Linked DNA regions of Xenopus tropicalis. The protein of the gene in region 2 interacts with the protein of the main gene of each other region in a pairwise test. Links are inferred from orthologs where the notes say so. Each region holds a gene or a part of one and is shown on either strand. Other genes may lie near its edges.

What was found.
Region 1: the proteins of rgs2 (region 2) and wdr74 interact in a two-hybrid assay, tested with the Homo sapiens proteins (2 studies listed by BioGRID and IntAct). The link is inferred for Xenopus tropicalis from reciprocal best matches to the Homo sapiens genes RGS2 and WDR74.
Region 3: the proteins of rgs2 (region 2) and nipsnap1 interact in a two-hybrid assay, tested with the Homo sapiens proteins (2 studies listed by BioGRID and IntAct). The link is inferred for Xenopus tropicalis from reciprocal best matches to the Homo sapiens genes RGS2 and NIPSNAP1.
Region 4: the proteins of rgs2 (region 2) and ddr1 interact in a two-hybrid assay, tested with the Homo sapiens proteins (2 studies listed by BioGRID and IntAct). The link is inferred for Xenopus tropicalis from reciprocal best matches to the Homo sapiens genes RGS2 and DDR1.

Annotation. Positions count from the first base shown.
Region 1 is NC_030680.2:36,483,003-36,485,762, reverse strand, and holds the end of wdr74 (WD repeat-containing protein 74), read right to left. Parts: intron 2,005-2,760; coding exon 1,949-2,004; intron 1,872-1,948; coding exon 1,729-1,871; intron 1,466-1,728; coding exon 1,409-1,465; intron 1,017-1,408; coding exon 843-1,016; 3' UTR 512-842; downstream 1-511. UniProt on the Homo sapiens protein: Regulatory protein of the MTREX-exosome complex involved in the synthesis of the 60S ribosomal subunit. Participates in an early cleavage of the pre-rRNA processing pathway in cooperation with NVL.
Region 2 is NC_030680.2:117,678,584-117,682,679, reverse strand, and holds the start of rgs2 (regulator of G-protein signaling 2), read right to left. Parts: upstream 2,802-4,096; 5' UTR 2,725-2,801; coding exon 2,612-2,724; intron 1,412-2,611; coding exon 1,298-1,411; intron 1,189-1,297; coding exon 1,127-1,188; intron 734-1,126; coding exon 567-733; intron 133-566; coding exon 1-132. UniProt on the Homo sapiens protein: Regulates G protein-coupled receptor signaling cascades. Inhibits signal transduction by increasing the GTPase activity of G protein alpha subunits, thereby driving them into their inactive GDP-bound form.
Region 3 is NC_030677.2:144,811,227-144,815,334, forward strand, and holds the end of nipsnap1 (protein NipSnap homolog 1), read left to right. Parts: intron 1-1,853; coding exon 1,854-1,937; intron 1,938-2,310; coding exon 2,311-2,375; 3' UTR 2,376-3,597; downstream 3,598-4,108.
Region 4 is NC_030684.2:75,321,476-75,324,994, reverse strand, and holds part of ddr1 (epithelial discoidin domain-containing receptor 1), read right to left. Parts: coding exon 3,420-3,519; intron 2,780-3,419; coding exon 2,652-2,779; intron 2,324-2,651; coding exon 2,123-2,323; intron 2,028-2,122; coding exon 1,793-2,027; intron 632-1,792; coding exon 482-631; intron 1-481. UniProt on the Homo sapiens protein: Tyrosine kinase that functions as a cell surface receptor for fibrillar collagen and regulates cell attachment to the extracellular matrix, remodeling of the extracellular matrix, cell migration, differentiation, survival and cell proliferation.

The sequences.
Region 1 (2,760 bases), about 81 Mb from region 2:
AATAAACTCTATCCCCCATATGTAATAAAAGGCACCAAGTTTGCCCAAGAGCAGTAACCAATAGCAATTGATGTTTGCTTTTAAACAAGTGACCAGTAAATGATTCCTGCTGGTTGCAATAGGTTACTGCTCCTGGCCAAACTTGGTGCCTGTAATTACATAGACGGGATGGAGTTTATCCAAGAAATTCAAACTTACCGAAATTATTTTATTGCATAACCAGTCTTTTATTACATAACCCCCTATGGCTTTTCCACCACAGTCATTGTCTGAGTTTTTTTTTTATTTTGGTTTATTTTCATTAGTACTCCCTTCTACCCCATGCCATAACCAGGCGAAAGGTGTTTAACTTCATGTGAGATAAACTATTCCAGCCATGTAAAATACATGTGCTGTACAAAAAAAGATACCAGAATTACTTGGGAATGAATGCAGTAACAGTAGTCTAAAATAGGGCAGGTTTAATAATTAGGACTAACCAATAGAGTTTAACATGTATCTAGTCAGAATATGTAGGAAGGATCTATTTATTCCTATATTGAACAAATATTTACATGAATGTGACATGAAATCCAATAGATAGCACTTCACTTTAGTCTATGAGATATAAAATACAGGTTAATAAGGTTCATCTGCATGGGGTCCAGCATCCTCACTATATCAGTCAGCTGTTGTTCAGTTTATCCAAAAGCTGCTCCATGAACTGCAGAAAAGATCTCTTTCCTTGAGATGGAATTAAAGGAGAATGCAGCAGCAGAGATGGCAGTCTGGACATCGGAGCAGTTAGTCATGTTTGTACTTGCCTATACTTTATCAATACATTTCTCCAAAAAAAGTAGAGCTCAAGCACATTTCTTTTTTTTACGGGTGGGGTTTTTAGTTCCAGCCTCCAGCGCCCTAATTTGAACCCCCTGGCGTTTTTTGCTGGTTTTGTCCACCACTGTCTCCATGTTGTCCCACACTTCATCTTCCTCCTCCTTAACATCCTGCTCTGCAGCTGAAGTTACATCATCTTCCTAAAATGAAACCAGACGTACTGTGTAAAGACATTACCAGAGCTTTGGGATGTGCTCATACATTTTTAGTTTGGTCTACTTAACCGCAGCAAATCAACAGCACAAACCATGGCAGCATACCTACGGATCAAGCAATTATTGCTTAGAAATTCACATCTCCAAGCGGTAATCGCCTGACCCAGCACTGGCAGGGTCAGCTTAACTAACAACTTGCCCATTTCTGACCTTGTTAACAGAGTAATGGGTGTGGTCTGATAGGACTTCGGATGTGGATAAGGCTTAGGATTACACAGGACAAGTCTCTTAAGTTTTTCTTATAGCCTGAATAAAGTTTTCCAATGCATATATTACCCTATACCAAAACCCAGGTGCCAGCAGAGCTTGAGTCTTACCTCCCATTTGTCACGTGACGTTAAGAGAAGGCAGTTTAACCGAGACTTCAGATACACCTTAAAAAAAAGAAAATAGTATGTAGAACGGTGTGACATGCAACTTCTTTCTGCTCTGAAACTCCTGTTTTGGGATCCAAGATTATACTATTCCATGTGTAACTATTTGTGGGTCTTTACTAAGGGGTTAATGCACACAATTAGACATACTTTTTCTTGCATAAGAAATAATACTAGTAGCTTGTATTTGATTGTGCAGAAGAGTGCAAGCACTTCAAATAGATTTTAGTTACATAATGAAACGCATACAAGGAGATCAGCACCTTGTGCTGCAGTTCTTTGTTCTCATAGTTGTGGATTCGAAGGAACCTGTCAAGCCCACAGGAAGCCACAATAGGCATGGATGAGTGGCACTGGATGGAGCGTATGGATCCAGCACTTCCCTTGAGAGCACAAAGCAATCGGCCTGGGAAGGGAATTAAAAATGATGAAGTGGGACAGAGAGACCAAAAGTACATTTGAGTACAAACTTGAGACTCTTACCTTTCCTTAGATCGATAACTGCCATATTCCCATGGGAATTTCCAACAATGACAGACCTACACAACAACACAAGAGAGTAACATGATCTTGGTACAATTGTTTTTAATTCACTGTCAAATGTTCAATCCCAAAATGTCCACTTCCAACAAAATGTCTTATTTAATGGGTTTCTCTTGGTACAGGTATTTTCTTTCTAAAGCAAAGGTGTAGGTTCTATACAAATGATATACTATGGTTATATTAAAGCATGGTGCTCATATCACTAGTTTCACAAAAAAGAAGAAAAGCAGAGCACCACAAAAATGAAAATAAAAACTCAGTCTTTATTCCAGCATCAGTAAAAGGCACATATACATCCCAAAGGACCTACGCTTGATGCGTTTCGTGGCGTCCCGCCACTTCCTCAGAAGCATGCTTCGCTCATATCACTACATGCACTTGTGATATGAGCAAAGTATGAATCAAAACACGGGAGCACTTACCACTCAAAACAGGTGTGCTACACGCGGATCCTTTTCCCAGTGGATCCCTAATATAGATTCACAAAAGCATGCTTCTGAGGAAGTGGCGGGACGCCACGAAACGCGTCAAGCATAGGTCCTTTGGGATGTATATGTGCCTTTTACTGATGCTGGAATAAAGACTGAGTTTTTATTTTCATTTTTTTGGTGGTCTGCTTTTCTTCTTTTTTGTGAATCTATATTAGGGATCCACTGGGAGAAGGATCCGCGTGTAGCACACCTGTTTTGAGCGGTAAGTGCTCCCGTGTTTTGATTCATACTTTGCTCATATCACTAGTGCATGTACTGTCA
Region 2 (4,096 bases):
CTGAATAAAGCGTGGGTATGAATTATTCACCATCAAGCTGTACACCCGTCTCTGGGCAGCGCTGAAGCAGGAGTGTGAAGGTTCCTGCATGGTTTGCATAATGTTTTCCCGAGTTTGAAAGTCAATGTTAATCTGCAGGAAAGATATAAAAATAAAGTTATGAATTGGTCCTGATGTTTAATGAAAAATAACACATTTTTAGGCTTGATTTTAAAATATATCTCTTGTTAAATAGGTGATGGTCTGGGAGAAATCATAGTATTTTCCTTTGTAAGCTCTGCTACTTGAAAAATACCAGTGTTTCGGCTTAGGAGACTAAAGTGTTCTCTTTGTGACTAGTGCACTTGAGCTACACCCATAGGTAAGATAGGTTATGCACACAATGCTTTCATCACCATTACATTAAAATGCTATTTAGAGAACATAAACGGTAACTGTGTCAAAAGACTTCTTAAAATAACTATGCAAACAAATGGCTGCATTACTCAAACACAACTCTAGTATGATATCGTATTTACTAAGCAACGACTACATTGGGGTAATGGTTCTGGCATGTAGCTGCTTACCTCTTTGGGGGCTTCCTTTTCAATGAATTCATCATAAATCTTCTTTGCTTTTGCTGTCAGCTTGTGTGGGGATTTGGTCTTTTTAAAATCTTCACATGCCAGCCAGAACTCAATATTCTCTTCACTGAACTCGGATTTTAAAAAGGCTCTGAATGCTGCTACTCCGTCTGTTAACAAGAGAGAAACAAATGTGTTAATTACTTTTTCCTGTAATGATAATGAACTTCAAAATCCTTGGGCTACTTATATGCTTTTCTATGCTATAACTATTCTCTGATTCCTTTTATGAAACTGATTAGATAGACAGACAGATAGATAGATAGATAGATAGATAGATAGATAGATAGATAGATAGAGATAGATAGAAAGATAGATAGAAGATAGAAAGAAAGAAAGAAAAAGTTTTCTGCATCTAGGTTGTGGCATATCATAATGGTTGTGCACCTTTTAAGCTGTATATTAATACACGCACACTATATATGTATGGTCCACAGAAATACTGATTCCCCTTAATATTTATCTATCTGCTGTGCCCAAATTAGTTTCTGATAATAACTTACATTTGCTGGCAAGAAGATCATCAAAGGTTTCTGACCAACTCTTGGCTTCTTCTGGAGTGGGCCTGAAAGATAGACAGGGATCATGAATACTTCTGCTTAGTTTCCCATTGCCTTACAAAGAACAATATTACATTCAGGTAGTGAGATATAATCAATCTCTATATACTGTACCTGCAATAGGCGTTCTTTTTGCCTCTTTTGTTCTGCCCCATATTTAAGGACCCGTTGGATGTGTTCTGAGAATTCTGCAGGAAGTAGCTCAGACGTGTCTTCCAATCTTTTAAACTGCAAAGGGAAAGAGAATCTTTTATTAAAACTCTTTAAACGCCACAGCGCAGTTCAGTGTTAGAAAGCAGAATAAAGGCATCAAAAATTCTGTTGCCTGGAAATGAAAATTGCCTCTAAACTTGCCCAGCTGTGAAGGGGTTAACTCCCAGGCTATCTAATTAGTTCTGCAGCCTAGCGAAGATCTTGTGACCTTTAGTCTGTTTCTTTTTAAAGGCAAGTCGCCTGTTGCTTTAAGGAAGACTTTTGATCTGCTGAAAGTATTTATAGCTAAACTTCAGAGCAAAGTACAATACCATCTGTGTCAGGGCGGCAGCTCACTCCCCTAGGGAGCAGTTAACAATTAACGTTTCTATATTTGGACCATGGTTCCACATCAGATATTAAAATTAAAAAGGGCAACATAAATACTGAGGTTTAATTGCTGCAATCTAAAGATCTAATTAGGGATATATAGAGGGTTAGATAAGAGTGGCTTTTATAGACTCAATTAATCTTTGTATCTTTGTTAAACATTATCTTACCCAACGTAATCTATCTCATAAGTGCGTCACACTCGGTATGACTAGTTATTACTCGTGTTGGCACATTTTAAGGAAACACAAGAGGCCATTGCAGTTGCTTCTCCCAGCTGTGCAACGTATGTTGCCTGTATGAGATCATTGCATTACTGTACAGCCCAGGAATGACTTATTCACTGAGGCTCTCGCTGCCGCCATCCTGACTATTCCTGCGCTTTTACTACTCTACAAGCAATTGGTTTCCATTATCCATATTTTAATAAAAAGCAAATCTTACTGCATTACTGTACTCTTATGTCAGCAAAATAAAATAATATTAATAAACCTAATGCAATAATGTGAATAGGCACGGTTTAGTAGTTTTCACGCATGCATCTGGAAACTGAAAATAGTTTGAATGCAAAAAGTTGCACAGGGACTTAAAAGCAGTGTAAAACTATCCTTAAAAGCTGGTATTTAACTGATGCCCAGTATTATATATATATGTCTATATAAGAAGATATGCAGCAGAAGAAATACATTCTGCAATAAATGCCAGTGCCATTGGTTTTTAGGGAAAGCAGCCATAGAGAACTGAGCTCTGTAGGGAGAGCCCATGCCATTTGCAATGCTCGGTTCCCTCTGCAGAGCGCAAAGCAGCAGATAATACAGACTGACAGCAATGTGTATAGAAACTTACATAGTTTTCTTCATCTTCCCTCTTTTCTCCTCGTTTTTCTGACAGCCTCCAGGAGACGAGCGTTCGACTTGCCCACAGTTGTGCTGAATGGCAAGAAACATTGCACTCTGCATAATGTCCCTCAATGGATTTGTATTAGTCCCAGAGCTCTCTTCTGCTAGTTCTGTCAGTGAGTCAGTGATGCTGCTAGAGAGCTAGGATGATTTGTCTCTATACAGACTGCTGAGGCTCAACTTTATATGCACCCAAGGTGGGGCTGGGCTTAGGCGCCCCCTCCCTTGCGCCTCTGCTATTGGCTGAGCCAGTTCCTGGCAGTTTGGTAAATCTCTAGTGCTGACGTCTTTGTCTGGGGCTGCTGCAAGTGTATGTGTGCTAGAGCTGCTGCTTCTCCTGGGCTCCTGGCAACTACACTGAAAACTAGTGATTAAGCACCCTGTATATTAAGCACCTTGTATATTATTCTTCTTTATTCTCAGCTGTATGCAAAAGGCAAACAAAATATCCAAACCCCCTTTTATCCTGGGAGAATTTCTGTTGCAGCAAGTAGGAAAGGGAAACTTCAATCTCCCACTGACATTATATGCATTATACATTGTATAACAGCAATAGGGAGCTCTCCTTTTTGCTTAGTATTAGTCCAGCTGCGCTTGGAAAACTGTGTTGCTTTGATGGCACAGGGACATGGAATTGATGGCTGGTGTAGTTCTGTTTTCCTACAGAATAATGTTAAAGCTTATGCACGGCTTTTCCCTCTTTCTGTATACTTTGCTTAACAGCTATTCTAATGGTTACCATAACTTCTAAGAGACCATAAAAGTTTTAAGAATCCTTACTGCAGCTCCAATCATTTGTGAGCTCTTACAGGTGGCACATCTATGGGCTATACATCAGCTTGAAGCCCAGTCTGTACTGTGCAACTGGTATTCCTTACAGATATATACAATATATGTATAAATGTCCTTTATTGCAACATTCAGTTTAAGTTTCATAGGGGCATATAGGGGATATGGGGAGACAAGCATTTTAGAAAAACAGAAGGAGATGTTTCATATATGGAAATTTACATTGTTCTTTGTTCAACTATTTCTAGCACCGATCTGGCTTATGTTGCCAGGCAATGTACGCTGTAGGGGTTTTCAAGAAGGGTTTCTTAGGTGAATGTCTCATAAGCATAAGAGTATACATGTATAAGGAATATTGGAGGAAAAAAAGTGTAAGAATCTTTCCCCTGCACCACGGGTTTCCTATTGTAAATTCTGTGTTCTTAGGTTGATCTCTGTTTTGTTTATGTAGGGAGGGGGAGGCTATAATAACAATAGGGATAAACAGAGGGACAGCTCACATTAAAATGAACATGTAGCTTGATGTAGACAAATTACAGAATGAGACAATTTGCAATTAGTTTTTTTTGTGTGTGTATTTTTTATAAGATCTAACTTCTGGTTTTGCATCTCTCGGGTTTGATATTTATTTTTTTTAGCAGAT
Region 3 (4,108 bases), on a different chromosome or scaffold from region 2:
TGATCACAAATAGGCAGGGTGTGATCAGACATTTTGGTAAATGCGACTTGCCTTGCCTCTTTTATATTAGGACAGTCTAAAAAGGCCCATCTGTTTGTCTGGGCAATTACTTAAGGTTTCTGTTGGTTTCTGTAGGTTGTGTGTTGGGTCCAGATAGGCAGAGAAGTATTTATTATGCCAGCTTTAAGCAGTGGGCATCACTGATGGGCCGTGAAAACATGGTGATCTGTCTCAAGATGACTATTTATTGTTACATAGTTACATAGGGTTGAAAAAAGACCAGTGTCCATCAAGTTCAACCCATCCAAGTAAACCCAGCACACCTAACCCACACCTACCAATCTATACACTCACATACATAAACTATAAATACAACCACTAGTACTAACTGTAGATATTAGTATCACAATAGCCTTGGATATTCTGATTGTTCAAGAACTCATCTAGGCCCCTCTTAAAGGCATTAACAGAATCTGCCATTACCACATCTATAGGGATAGTATAACCCACCCCCATATGTAAAAAAATAAACTAAGTTTGCCCTGGTGCTATAACCCATAGCAACCAATAGGATGTTTGCTTTTAAACAGGTGACCAGTAAATGCTGCCTCCTTGTTTGATTGCTGTGGGTTTCTGCTCTTGGGCAAACATTGTGCTTTTTATTACATAACCCCATTATTCTTAAAACATATTTCTAATTTTAGGCTGTGCTGACAGGTAGTTGTGAATCCATCATATTGCCGGATGCATGATTCATCCTTCCAGAGTACACGGTCCACTGCTTTAGTGAATCAAATAACAGCAATATTAAAACAATGCAGTTGACATTTTGCATTACATGTGGGAGGCTTGTGTGCACAATTAAAAAAAAAAAACCTTGCCTTTACAATAGTCCCTGTGCTCATGTTAGTTCCAAATACAGTTTGGAACTCAACAATGATGGTTCTAACAAAGGACGTGATTATATATAATGTCCAGATTCTTATGTTCATGAAACTTTACCAAAAATTCAGAACAAGCAATACCTGTGATAGAATAATGTCAAAAAGCTTGTAGGTTTGTTGGTAAAAGAGAAAAGTGAGTTTTTTTGTTTTTTAACAAATAAATCATAAAAAAATTTTCTTAAACTGTTTTTGATTGTTTGACTTTTGATGTTATAATGGATTTATAACATCTCTTCTAAATGGATGTTTAGTAACTACCTATGGTTGGTGTTTTTTTGTACTTTTTATGCTTCAACTCTTTTGAGATGGTCCATCTCAAAGAGTCTACCACCTTTCCTTTCCTAACTGGACGTTTTTTGAGCAAATCATACCATATGACTTTTCCTTAGTTCATAATATTTGTAGAATACCCTTTTGCTGTTATTGCTCTGTTGCTGCTTTTGTCTACGAACAGTGACAAGTCATATATGGTTGTGCCTAACTGCTAGACCAGTGATCACAAACTATTAGCTAGGAGGCAGGTTTTAAATCACAGACACACCGTTTTACTCCAAACAGGCTAGCAGTCCACATGGGGCTACCAAATAGCCAATCACAGGCCTTATTTGGCGTCCCCAAAGAACTTTTTTTCATACTTGAGTGGCTCACAAAAAAAAAAAAAGGTTGAGCTAGACATACTTTGTTTCTTTATTATTGCTTTTTACCTTAAAATAAAACTAAACAAAATTTTATACTTTACTAATACTGTATGTGTGGTGGTGAATATTAACTATTTTGCCTTGTTTATGGATTCTGAAAGTTTTTAGTTAACAAAAAAAGTTTAAATATTTAGAATATCATTGAAAATAGGATATTGCATTTAGTGACCTTAAACTAGCAAATAAAATCAGTTCTTTGCCTGTGTATTAGCTTACAAAGATCTTGAGTCCAGAGAAGAGACACGTAAAGCTGCTTGGACCAAACGAGGATGGGATGAGAATGTATACTATACAGGTAATGTACCAAATGTTTACAGTGATTCTAATAATAGATCAGTATAATTCCCTTATATCAGTCACTTTCTTTATAACCCAATTAATGACCAGTGTATTTGCTGTGATGGTAAAATGTACCATTTAGAATACATAATTTAACATACAGCACAAGGTGTTTTTTCGCATTGTAGAAAAAGATGTTAGAACTTGATTTTCATTAATGTGTGACCATGTGCTGAAAAGTAATTTTCATAGTTTTCTACTTCATATACTACAAGTTCTTGTTATGGCTGTTAATGAGATGCTGGGAATCATGTTTTTTTAAAACTGAAATATTTAAAAATCCTGTCTGTGATTATTTTCTAAAAAGCTAACGTTGTTATATTTTTCAGTTCCACTTGTCAGGAATATGGAGTCCCGTATTATGATCCCACTGAAGATCTCTCCCCTGCAGTGATTAGCAATCTCGCCTTTTCCACATTTTTCTCAAGTGCTAGGTTCTAGTTTCAGTAATGTGAATAAATTCTGCTCTGATAATTCTAGTTCATAAGTATGGAACAGAACAAGGGACAGGTCTTGCACCCAATTACTTTAACCAAATCATGTTAAAATGATTATCTTTGCAAATGACAGAGATGGTAAGGTGCAGCATTTTCCTAAAGCTTTGAGCAGCTGCATGCCATCACTTTCCCAGTCAATAACTTTACCTCATAACAGATGTTACTGGGCTCATTTATAAAAACTGGGCAAATTTGCACCTGGACAGTAATCCCCCATAGCAACCAATCATTGATATAATTTTTCCAGACAACTACAGGTGGAGTAATGAAAGCAAACTTCTGATTGGTTACTAAAGGTTACTGCCTAGGTGCTAATTTGCAAAGTTTTTTTTTTTTTATAAATGACCCCAATGTGCTAAGCTTATTTTGTGCTGTCAATATTTGACATTAGTTTAAAACTTTAAACATGTGCAGTACTTGCAGTATGTAGCCTGGAAGACCAGGCCACAGCAGCCTGTATAATTGTTTGTTCCCTGTATAAATAATTGTTTGTTCTCCCATTTATTTGTTTTGCCTTTCACCCTAGTGTAGCTTTAGCATAGGTCCCATTCCTTTGTTTAAAAGCAAACACCCAATTTAAAATATCCCCCTCCCCAGTGATATCTAATGCTACCCCATAAGTTGCCCCATGCCCTTTATCTGGCCTAACAAAAAAAAAGTATATCAATAGGGTTTGCAGCCACCATGTCTGACTGTGCCACATATGCATGAAGGATCCAATGTGTTGATCATTGTAAGCTGATTTGGTGATACAGGCAGACATGGAGGTCAACAAGTCCACTATGCTATTCTGCTTTGTTGGGCCAGGTACAGGGCATCCCAAATAGCACTGGTATGGGTCTTTGTCATGGCAGGGGATGGAATTTTTAAAAAATGACTGAGGAAGGGTTTTGTTCTCCTTGGATATTACTTTAACCAGTTTTAAGGGCCCATTGCATTCATGCATTTCATTTTCAGTTGTCATGCTCAGGGAACAATGTAAAACTATCCATCAAGAACCAGTTGTCTCTGACTTTGTAAATGAATGTCTGTGAAGATATCAGCTTTTATATGTGCTCTAAAAGTCCCAGCATTTACAATGTTAGAAAAATATCATAGTAAACTCATTTAACAACAGTGATTTGGTGGTGTCAAATAAATTGATTTATTTCGAGGTTTAAATATATCAGACTGTTGGGTAGTATTTTCCACTTGTAGCTTCTGGTACATGACTTATGTTTGCTTCATTAGTTGGTGCCTTGGCATAACGGTACAATATTTAATTTAGAAAGTCCCACACTCTGCATACAATGTATATACAGTGCCGTACAAAAGTATCGATCAATGTCGCTAAATAAATCCTACATTAAAATTTCTTCTCTCTGTATAAGAGAATAAGCGTATTTTGGGACAAGTACCAACTTTGCAGGTTTCCAAAGTGGCATTACTCCCATTTAAAAAAAAAAAAAAAAAAAAAAAAAATATATATATATATAAAAACTAAAATATAAATACAATATGTTAACTGTCTCTTGATCAGAGTGACCACCCTAATGTATAAATGTGTGAGACCTAATTGCAGGGACTGATGTTAAAGGAGAAGGAAAGGTAAAAATCACTGAGGGTGTGCATGCCTGGTATATGCTGTAAA
Region 4 (3,519 bases), on a different chromosome or scaffold from region 2:
ATATAAGTGTAGTGGTCCACCCAGCTGCTATTTTATACTTCTACTGTAAGTGAATATTTTTACACCACACAGTGCAGATGCCAGAAGCACAGGGACATTAAATGAGTTTCCAAGGACCCGGGAACAGAATGGTCCAATGGTGGGATATTTGCCAATAAATTTCCGAAACATCTGAGCTGGCATTACAGTAACACCTAATTAATAATGTATACAGTTTAAGTTCAGGAAAACAATATTCCACTGACACAAATCTTTTCTTTAATGATTTATTTCCCCCCGGGAAAATTTTCTGTGGATGCCCATGCCTGCATTCTGTTCTGTGGCCTCCCTGCTATTCCTGTAAAACCCAGTTCACACACAGCTGTTACTAATCCTGCCTCTGGCCCATACACTACATCATTCTGCTCTATCTGTATGGATCCTGCTCATACAGCTGTCAGCACAGATCCAGCCTTGCCTAATCTCTCACCCCTTCACTCACCTGCTTCTTGCTGTCACGGAAGATTTCCCCTGCATTCTCAATCACATCCTCATCACTTAGTTCACCATATGGTTGCTCCTTGCACAGCATTAAAATTTCCCACAACGTCACGCCAAAAGCCCACACATCACTGGCTGTGGTGAATTTTCCCTGTATGAAAATTATATTTTGGATCAGTTCTTAATAGTGTTGCATACACGAATACACATACAGTGATTAGACATGGGATAAAGAGAATGCTCAAAAGGAGGGAGAAGGGGTGGAGGTTGGCGTGAATGCCATAATGAGTCAAGAGAAGGCTGCAAAGTACTGGAACGGCCATCATAACTGCTGTTGCCTATTTTATGAATTAGAACGCACATGTGGCAGACTGTGTTGCCTGCAACCTGCCAGAGCAAATCTACACACAGTCGTATAAATCAGATTTTATTCTCAGGTGTCAGTGACTTATAGTCAGGGCTGATATTCAGAAGGCTCACAATGAGTTGCCAACCCAAGTCTCTTTTTTTCTTTTTTTTTTCTACATGGCTAATTAAAAAGTTAACTCACAATATTTAAAAGGCAAATGAAAAGATTAGTTCATTTTACATAGAAGTCCACATGACAGCACTCCAATAAACAGATAAAAATGCCTTTATTTAGTCATTTAGAGCACAGAATAGCAACTTTTGAAGTCTATATGGCTGCGTGTTTTTTTGACATCATCAGTGAAGGACATTTCTGGCTTCTAAACAGCATTTAGGACACTTTCCCCCAGACAATATTTGTCATTGCCAGTGTGCTGCTTAGGAGAAATTATGAAATAAAAAATTATTAATCTTGGGCTTGTTTTCTCTGGAGAAAAGGTGCTTGCAAGGGGACATGTTTACTTTTTACATTACAAGTACATTAGAGGGCATTACCAACTTTAAGCTTGAGGAACAGAACTTTCATTTGAAGCAGCAAAACGTTTTTTCATTCTAAGGGCAGTGAGGTTTTGGAATGCTTTGCTGGGTGACATTATGAAGGCAGAGACTATCAATGTGTTTAGGAGGGGCTTAGATGACTTCTTGGACAAGTATAATATCACAGGCTACAGTAAACCCTACACAGTTATTTTAGTTTAATATAGACATGTGTATATATACTTTATATATTTCAGTGCACATAAAGGTCTGCATAGGTATGTGTGTACATATATATGCACTGGGGGTTATTTGGAAGGTTTGAATTTAATGAAATATTATCGCTTTTCAAACCAAATTAAGTATGCAACACTGTATGTTCAAGTTTATTATATGGACAAATGAATTCTAACATAACTATGCTCACCATAAGTATGCACTCCCAGGCCATCCATCTAATTGGCAGTACTGCCCTGCCCTGTATTCGGTAGTAGTCTCCAGCATACAAGTTGCGGCTCATCCCAAAATCTGCAATCTTTATGGTGAAGTTTTCCCCCACCAAGCAATTTCTTGAGGCCAGGTCCCGGTGTACAAAGTTAAGGGACGAAAGGTATTTCATTCCAGAACAAATCTGCACAGCCACGTGCAATAGGCTGGGGTAACTGCAGGGGAGACAAAAATAATAACAATAAACAGAATGAGTGTAGGACAAATAGATAACTATAGACAGTGAGTCATTTCAGAGTGGTTCCCACACCTGATAGCAGGCAGACATTGTGCTCCACTTTCCTCTCCTTCATCCAGGTGATGGGAACTCAGAAACTGATTGAGATCTCCATTTTCCATATACTCTGTGATCATGCAGAGCGGATCTTCATCCAGACAAGCACCCAGCAGACGGATAATGTGAGGATCACTCAGACGGGACAAGATCTTCAGTTCCTTCAGGAAATCGCTTCTGTAGGCAGGAATGCAAAAAAAAGTACCATGCTGATACATAGTGCTGACTGCATTTCAACCATATGTATACTTTTTATGAACAGTGTTTCTGATGGGAAGTAATACCTATAGGCAGATAATGAGAAGTGCCCTTTATTGACATTCAATGAATAGTAATAAAATGGTGTATTGTCATACCAGAAAGCCATAATTATGGAGCACCATGAGATGCTCTTATTTAAAATATGACTTTGGCTACTAAAATAAGGGGTAAAAATGGTTCAGACTGAGCATTTAAAGACTAAATAATAACCCACAATCAGTTCAGTAAATAATAATCAATTTACCTTGCATTCTTATTGGCATCGGCTCTCAACAATTTAACAGCCACAAGCAGGCTTCTTCCCTTGCGCATGTTAAATGGAAACTGTAAAGTGGGGAGCTCATGAGGATTCACTACTTCACACAGGTGTACCTGAAAAAATGATACATTATGTACATAAAACCAGCAAAAGCTGAAGGGTCCTGTAAGAGAAGCAGAAAAAAGAGGCACAGCAAAAGAATGTATGATTTTGCAGGGCTAATGAACAAAGAAATTGGTAGGACTGTACATGATGAAGATCGGAGTGGGAGTATGGTTAAGCATTATAGTAACATAGTAACATAGTAAGTTGGGTTGAAAAAAGACATACGTCCATCAAGTTCAACCATAATGCCTATACCTAACCTGCCTAACTACAAGTTGATCCAGAGGAAGGCAAAAAACCCCATCTGAAGCCTCTCTAATTTGCCTCAGAGGGGAAAAAATTCCTTCCTGACTCCAAGATGGCAATCGGACCAGTCCCTGTATCAACTTGTACTAAGAGCTATCTCCCATAACCGTGTATTCCCTCACTTGCTAAGAATCCATCCAGCCCCTTCTTAAAGCTATATAATGTATCAGCCAGTACGACTGATTCGGGGAGGGAATTCCACAACTTCACAGCTCTCACTGTAAAAAATCCTTTCCGAATATTTAAATGGAACCTCCCTTCTTCTAAACGGAGTGGGTGCCCTCGTGTCCATTATGTTAAGATGTAAAGATCATTTTTGAAGTAAACAAAAGCAGCACTTACCTCTCCAAACTGCCCCTCACCCAGCTTCTCCTTAAAAAGGAGATGTCCACGGGGGAATTTACAAAGAGGCAAGTCTTTGGAAGCGAGGGAGTCGGCAGTT